Linked DNA regions of Sus scrofa. Each later gene encodes a partner of the first gene's protein in a complex. Links are inferred from orthologs where the notes say so. Each region holds a gene or a part of one and is shown in the gene's direction. Other genes may lie near its edges.

What was found. The genes of interacting proteins can lie anywhere in the genome.
Region 2: KAT7 (region 1) and JADE2 share a complex: the UniProt entries of both Homo sapiens proteins name them as parts of the HBO1 complex. The link is inferred for Sus scrofa from reciprocal best matches to the Homo sapiens genes KAT7 and JADE2.

The regions. Positions count from the first base shown.
Region 1 is NC_010454.4:25,969,910-25,973,963, forward strand, and holds the start of KAT7 (histone acetyltransferase KAT7), read left to right. Parts: upstream 1-1,247; 5' UTR 1,248-1,856; coding exon 1,857-1,889; intron 1,890-4,054. UniProt on the Homo sapiens protein: Catalytic subunit of histone acetyltransferase HBO1 complexes, which specifically mediate acetylation of histone H3 at 'Lys-14' (H3K14ac), thereby regulating various processes, such as gene transcription, protein ubiquitination, immune regulation, stem cell pluripotent and self-renewal maintenance and embryonic development.
Region 2 is NC_010444.4:136,822,039-136,825,556, forward strand, and holds part of JADE2 (protein Jade-2), read left to right. Parts: intron 1-1,285; coding exon 1,286-1,403; intron 1,404-3,518. UniProt on the Homo sapiens protein: Scaffold subunit of some HBO1 complexes, which have a histone H4 acetyltransferase activity. Acts as an E3 ubiquitin-protein ligase mediating the ubiquitination and subsequent proteasomal degradation of target protein histone demethylase KDM1A.

The DNA.
Region 1 (4,054 bases):
TTTTTTTTTTCCTCCCAGTCTCTGGGCAAAGCTTTACTCCACACAAGGCTTTTCTCCCAGCGAGGTTAAATCCTCAACGCTTGCTGTTCACTTCTCAGCCTTTTCTTACCGCTCTTCTGCCAACCTTACATCTTCCACCAACTTCTCCTTTCTAGGCAGCTAACATCAATGCCTTTCTGAGCTCCAGCTTTACTAAAAATATTCCTTCCTCTTCCTCCAACTCCTGACTCAAGCGTCTGGATTTCGAGAGGTCACTTGGGCTAATGGGGTTCAATGCTTTTCCAACTCTGGTACCGCGCACGCGCGCACACACACACACACACACTCATCCCGAGGGCCACCCAAGGCTCTCAAACCCATACAGGATGAGGGGACGAAGTGGGTGTGCTCACCACAGAGCTAAACTGGTAATTCTTTGGAGCAACAGTTTCTGGAGAATGGTTGTGTCTCCTTTCGCGAGTGAACGGATCAACATACTTGCGGTTCGCTAAAGGCAAGGACAATGTCTCCTCTACCAGACAAGAAACTTCTTCATGAAGGACGCTACCTTCTTTCTGTCCTTTCACAAGCCCCCATTCCCAGCACTGTGAGACACCGAATGGCTCTTAAAATAGTTTCTTGTGCAAAATAGCCCTTCCCAATTTTGAGTTTATGTGATAAAGGGAAACGTCCTTTAGCCAATTCGGCGACTAAGGGGTTAAACCTCAGCAACCTGATGGATTCTGGGGCTTTCTTTCCTCGACTTCAGAAATTAAAACCAAAGGGAAGGGAAATTTTGCCCATTGTAAAGATGAGAACTGTTAACTTCAACTGTCAGGCTTCTGCCCCAAACAGGAATGGCTACCCACGCCTACAGAGGATGCCATTCCCCTAACTAAAAATGGCGGGCCCCAGTTTCCACTGTCGCTGCCACTTTCTGCCCAATTCCAAAATGGCTCCCGCTAGCCTCACCGGAGGGGGAAACCTCCCAGAATCCTCTCTGGCCCTAACGTCAGGTGACGCAAGCCTCAGCCGGAAGTGGAGGAAAAAGCGCCTCAGCCCGCGGCGCCTGCGCAGAAAGGTCTAGACGCTGTGAAGCAGGAGGCACTTGGGATCGTCCGCAGGATTGGGACTGCTACAGAGGCCGCCACGGAGCCCGCCGGAGCCACCGTTCCCACTGCTGCTGCCGCCGCTGCCCGAATCGGAACCGTCGGGCCGCAGCCGCCGGCAATGCCGCGAAGGAAGGTGAGAGGAACGGGACAGGAGGGATGGCGGGTTTCTAAAGGGCAGTCGATTGAGAAGAGTGACGCAGTTGGCCACGCCTCACAGTGGTTGGGTTCCAACTTCCCGCTTCCCTGAACCTAGCTCAGCAACCCTCGCTTCTGTCCATACCCAACAGAAAAATGTGGGCCCGACTGTGGCCTCGGCCTATGCTTGCACCTATTCCCGCCCTCTGCTTGCCTGGCTCGGAGGCGTTCTTCTCGGCAATTGGTCGCTGAAACGTCTAGAAGCATGTTGATTGGCTGGCGACACCGCCCATTTGGGCCCAACGGTCACCTCCCCGCGTGTGGGGGCGGTGTCTAGGCCCGGCTCTACCGCTCTCCGACTGGATGTAGAGAACGATCCCTCTTCTCTTGATTGGCGGGGCTTGGCAGTCTGTCCTGTGGGGGCGCGGTTTAGCGGGACCGCGATTGGGTGGCACGAGTCCCCTCCCATCCGTATGGTGATGCTCATAGGAGGAGAGGCGGGGTTTGGGGAGTATCCTTCCTTTCCCCGCGGAGGACACAACAAAGCAGAGGACTGGGTGGTAGAGAAGCAGCGCCCACTCCCGAGGGATCCCTTCCAGGCCTGTTGCACCTAAGCTGCGGTTTTCCCTTATGTGCTTAGTTGGACAGCGCCTAGAAAATGAAGTTCGTAAATCGGAAACTTCCTAGAATTAAATGGGACTTGACGATGTCATCTAGGGACACCCCCATCCCTTTTCTCAGCTAAGCAGAGGCTTAAGGGAGTGCCCCAAGCCACTCAATTAGGCAATGACAGAGCCTGGACTACAGGACAAATCTAATTCAGTTCAACAAACGTTTATTGACTCTTCGCTATGTGCTGGTTGCCGAGGACTCGAAAATTAATTAGACATGATCACTGGCTTAAGGAATCAGAGTCTGAGAGGAAAACAGACATTTAAATAACTGTAGAAGGGTTTAGTAAATTCTCTACTTGGCAGTAATAAAGATTAATGGGAGGGAAGTGGAGCAATTTAATCTGCTCTGGAGTAAGATGGGAAGTAGTTGGTGAAAGCAGTAGAGGAGAGCTGAGCTCCAGGGTCATGCCAGGAAGGGATGGGCAGAGATGATTAGGGATTCAAATAGCTGGGTAATTGGATTGGATGACCTTTAAGACTCCCCTTTCATCTTAATTTTTGGTGATTCTCTGTGGATCCTCCACTCATTTCCTGGCAGATTATCCTTGAAATATTTGGAACGCTGGGTGGTGGTCTTGCTCATTTCTGCAGAAATCTTTCTCTTCACAGAGGCTTTCAAATATTTACATTTTTTAATGTCTCCAAAATGACCTACATTGATAGGTGGTATTTATGTTAAGGCTCACCAAATAGTACTGGTGTCTTGGAATAGGCCCACAGTCTCCTTTTTGCAATCCCCAAGTACAAAGAGTTCTTGAAAATGTGTGTTTTTTAGTAACTTATTTCTTGGCAGAACCTGTTCTAAACTGTTCTGAGGCTATTTACAGTTTTTGTGTCTCATTTAGTGTGATTGTACATATATTTTGCTGCAGAAAGGGTGTTATTTGCAGGATGTATGCAGACTATTCCTTTCTAAAAAATTATGAATTCTAAACACATCTGATCCTAAGGGGGCTTTTTGTTTGTTTTTGCTTCTTGTATGTTTTTTTTAAGCAAATGCATCTCTCTTTATGGTTTAAAATTTTTTTTGCTTTTTTTTTTAGGGGTGCATCTGTGGCATACAGAGGTTCCCAGGCTAGGCATCAAATCAGAGCTACACCTGCTGGCCTACGCCACAGCCACAGCAACGCAGGTTCTGAGCCACATCTGAGAGCTACACCACAACTCACAGCAATGCCAGATCCTTAACCTGCAACCTCATGGTTCCTAGTCGGATTCGTTTCCTCTGCACCACAGTGGGAACTCCTCTTTATGGTTTAATAAAGGGTATGGTGTTAGCATAGGAGGGTACCCCAACCCTTCTGGCTTTGCTCTAGGATTCCCTGGGAAGGAAAGAAAGTTGGAATTTAATACAGAAAGCTGATGATCAATAGGTGATAATAAGTTGAGGGAGAAAATGTAACATACTTTGAGCACTTAAATTGTGCCAATTTGGTTACTGCTGTATGAGCATGCTGCAAAATGGGAGAAAAACTTCTGTTTTTTCAAACAAGTGTTTAATGCTTAATTGATAAAAGTTATCTTTATGGTTAATTGTGTCTCTGGAGGCTGATAATTGACAAATAATATTAACTGTAAAGGTGATTTTAAAAAACCTTCTGTTTTTGCATACCCATGTGTCTTCGTTTGCAAACCACTCCCTCCCCCCTTTTTAAAAGCACTTTTGGGGTACATGTGGAGAAACTTCAAAGGGAGATGACATAAGTAAGAAGAATTACTATTTTTCTCCCTAAGTTTGAGATCAGAGTTATAGACCATGATATTTTGAATCAGTGTGTGGTTTTTAATTCATTTTATTTTTTTATTTTTTGGTTTTTTTTTTTTTTTGCTTTTAAGGGCCATACCTGCAGCATATGGAGGTTCCCAGGCTAGGGGTCTAATCAGAGCTACAGCTGCCAGCCTGCACCACAGCCACAGCAATGCAGGATCCGAGCCACATCTGCAACCTACACCACAGCACATGGCAACACCGGATCTTTAACGCACTGAGCGAGGCCAGGGATCAAACCTACAACCTCATGGTTCCTAGTCGGATTCGTTTCCGCTGAGCCACGGTGGGAATTCCAGTGTGTGGTTTTTAAAAATGTAATAGCTGTTTATGTAGACTTTGAGCAAAAGCTACTCCAGAATTAAGTGAGGCTGTCACTAACATTT
Region 2 (3,518 bases), on another chromosome or scaffold:
GGGCCAGGTGGTTGTCCCTTGGGGAGGTGCTGGCCACGGGAGAGCCTGGCATTCACGGTCGAGGCCAGGGTGCGGAGTGCTGCCGAGAAGCCCTGCTGTGCCCATCCTGCCACAGCCTAGCCTGGCGCAGGTGTCCCGGGGTCTCCTTCACAACTAGGCTCAGGAAGGAGAGGAGGCGGCCCATCCCAGCAGAGAGGTCTGACCGCAGCCCCCTGCCAGGCCAGGAGAAGTGACGGTCGTGACAATAGGCAGGGGCTCTGGAACCCATCAGTCGTGCCCCGGAAACTGAAGGACATGAAGATGGAATCCAGCTGGAATTGGACCCTGGTGGGACCCAGGATGCCAGTTCAGCAGCTTCTGGCCAGCTGTCCCTGCTGCTGGAGGCTGTGACTGAGCTGCAGAGAACACAGAACAAGACGGGGTCTTGGAGGGGAGGCATGATATACCCTGAGCGCTGCCGGGGAGGGATGGCCCCCTAGGGCGAGGTGCCCGGTGGACAGGGAGCAACGTGGCCCATCCTTTGGCTGCTTCCAGACCAGCTGCAGGGTGGGCCCTGTCCCATGAGCTAATAAGCAAGCTGGTCTCCCTGGCCCTAAGAGTCTCTTCCTGGCTGGCCTCTGGGGGTGAGAGAGAGCCGGCCTTTTCCCCGGAGGAGTTCTGTCTCTGGCTGAGCGAACGCAGCCAAGTGCACGTGGGGCCTTGACCACAGTAGCTGTGGACCTGGCTCAGAGCTCACGCAGCAGGTGGACAGGGTCAGCTGCAGGCTGGACCCCAGTGTGTTAGGAACCGCCTGTCCACCCAGAGCTGCTCTACCGGAGCTCTTGCTACTCCTGCACCAGTCATTCGTGTGTCATGGTAGGAGGTGGCTTTGGCCTGAGTGCTTGCGGCGGAAGAGTTTCTTTGATGGGAAGCAGCCTTGGACAGGAGGCTGAGGGCTGCACTTAGGGACCTCGTGGGGCCCCAGCAGACCTTGGGTCCCTGTGTGTCCACGGGAGAGCAGCCACACTTGGGCGATGGCATGGCTCAGCCAGGACATTTAGGCGGAGAGGAGGAAGGCAGAGTCGCCAGCCTGGGCTCAGCAGACACACTCCCTGCCTGCTCCAGCTGTGCCCGGGGCCACAGGGCCAAGCTTTGCGTGCTCCTCTGGGCTGAGGTGCATTCAGGGTCTGAGAATTGGTTCCTGGATGTCCTGGGCACACAAGGCAGTGGTGGCCCCCCCTCAGAGCTGGGAGGTCTGGGGTGCTTGCCCTGAGTAAGGTGGCAAATCTCTCTTGTGTCTCCTCAGGTTAGAAATCTGTGCTACATGGTGACAAGGCGCGAGAGAACGAAACACGCCATCTGCAAGCTCCAGGAGCAGATATTCCACCTGCAGATGAAACTTATCGAACAGGATCTGTGTCGAGGTAGGCGCCTTCCCTGCCCGCCGGCCACCTCTCGTGTGCCTGCCCTCAAGGGGCCGGGTCCCAGGGAGGATATGTGTCTTCGGGGCCTGGTGGGGCATGTGTGGGGTCAGGGGCCACTGGCCCCCACCCTTCCCCTCTGTATCCAGATAGAAGGCCCAGGGTCCTAGGCGCGTGCGGCTGGCTCGGAGGCAGAGGTTGGAATGTGGGCCTCAGGCCTGCCTTCATTGGGGGAGCTTTCTGGTTCCCTGGGACTCTTAGCCAGTGCTGGGGCGTTGGTGGTTCAGGAGCAAATTGCACGTGAACAGGTACAAGCCAGAAGCCCCAGTGGCTCTGGCTGGTGCCAGGGCAGGAAGGGCCCAAGCCAGCGAGCTTCCCTGAGCCCCTATCTGCCAGGGTGTCAATTCTGAGGAAGGCAGCTGCCCGGAGACGTGTGTTCATTCTCTCTGACCAGGTCTGATGGGACTCGGACCCTGGGCCAATGGTTTTTTCCTCTGTCTTCTTCTTCCGCTCTCACCATCACACGTGTTTAATAGATCTGGAAATCAGAGTTCACAGAAGCTCTGACAGTGGTCTTATTTATTAGTTGTGAACATTGCCCGATAATAAGGCCCTGTCCCGGAGTCTTTACAGGGCAAGGAGGCCAATGCTTAGCCCAGAAAATGGTGCTCTAATGTCGAATTAGATGCAGCAAAAATGGCTGTATGGAGAGTGATTTTAAGCGAGGGGCTGCCACTGCCAGCTCAGCCTGGGGGGCAGGAGGGGCCCTGGGCCACCACGGGAGTGAATGACCAAGGACCTGGTCCTGCCCCAGAGCTGAGCTGCCTCGACTGTGCTGAGGGGTGATCACCCACTCCGGCCCCAGAAACCAGCACTGCCAAGTACAGGTGCTGGGTCAGAGTGGATCCCGGCTGCATAGAGGTCAGGGCTGTCCAGGCAGCCCAAAATCTGTGGCAGCTTCCAGACTCCCTCTCGTCTGCCGGTTCCTTCGGTAAGCCCGACTGTGGACAGGGTGCTGGGCTCTGTGCTGGGCGCTGCGGGCACCCTGCCATGGACTCAGTGGACTGGTTCTTGTCCCCATGGAGCTTGTCCTTGGGAAAGACAACGGAAAGTGGTGTCCAAGGGGCTGCAGTTGGTGCCCGTGCAGGGACAAGAGTGTCAGGAATGGCTTCATGGCATTGGTGATGCTGGACCCTCTCAGGCTTCCTGACTCCAGGTCACCACACACCCAGTTGTAGGAAGGCCACACAGAGTGGCAAGGCCGTGCAGTGCCCTCAGGCCCAGGATTCCAGAACCACGGTCAAGAGCCTGGAGGGTCCACGTGCCTACATCGAACCTGGAGACGTTTGTTGCTTCTAGACCTGAGTGGCAGCGTCAGGCTGCCTTTTGGTCAGGGCAGGGCGTTTGGAGAGAAGACTCGTTGGCCTCCACCCAAAGCGGATGCCCTCGGTGTTGTGATGTTTGACCCCCAGGTGGGAGGTACAAGCATGTTGCCGAAGCCAGAGGTGCCGGGGAAGGTCTCCCTAAGGCAGTGATACTCAGGCTGTGCACTGAACCAGGTGAGGGGCAGGACAAGGAAAGCACCCACTGGGGACCAAGGGCCGGAGCTTGTCTCGTTAGAGAGACTGGGAGGAAGCTGGCATGGCTGCCCCAGAGCAGAAGGAGAGTGTCTGAGTGAGGCTGAGGGCTTGCCAGGGTCAGACGTGTGAGGTTTTGTGCCCTTGGAAGGAGCTCAGGCCGTGGGAAGGGCGGGGTCTTGAGAAGCCTCCCCCGGGCCTGTCCAGGCGCTGGTCCCAGGTGATCAGGTGAGGCCTCTTCAGGCCAGGCCTTGGGTCTCACAGGGAAGTGGCAGCAGAGCTGGGAAGGTTCCTGGAGCTGGGGCCACACTCGTCAACCTTCGCCTAAACCCTTACTCAGGAAACTCTCTAGCCTCTGGCGGAGAAGCTGGGAGAAGATTCCTGGCAGCTGCCCCCCCACCCCGACCCACACACCCCTCCCCTGTTCTGTTTGATCTCTGGCCCCCTAGACCTGTGTGGTCCTGGACTGAACGGAGATGAGGGCCAAGCGTGCCCCACGATTCTCCCTCTAAAGCAGGGCACTGCCCGAGAGGACCGACCA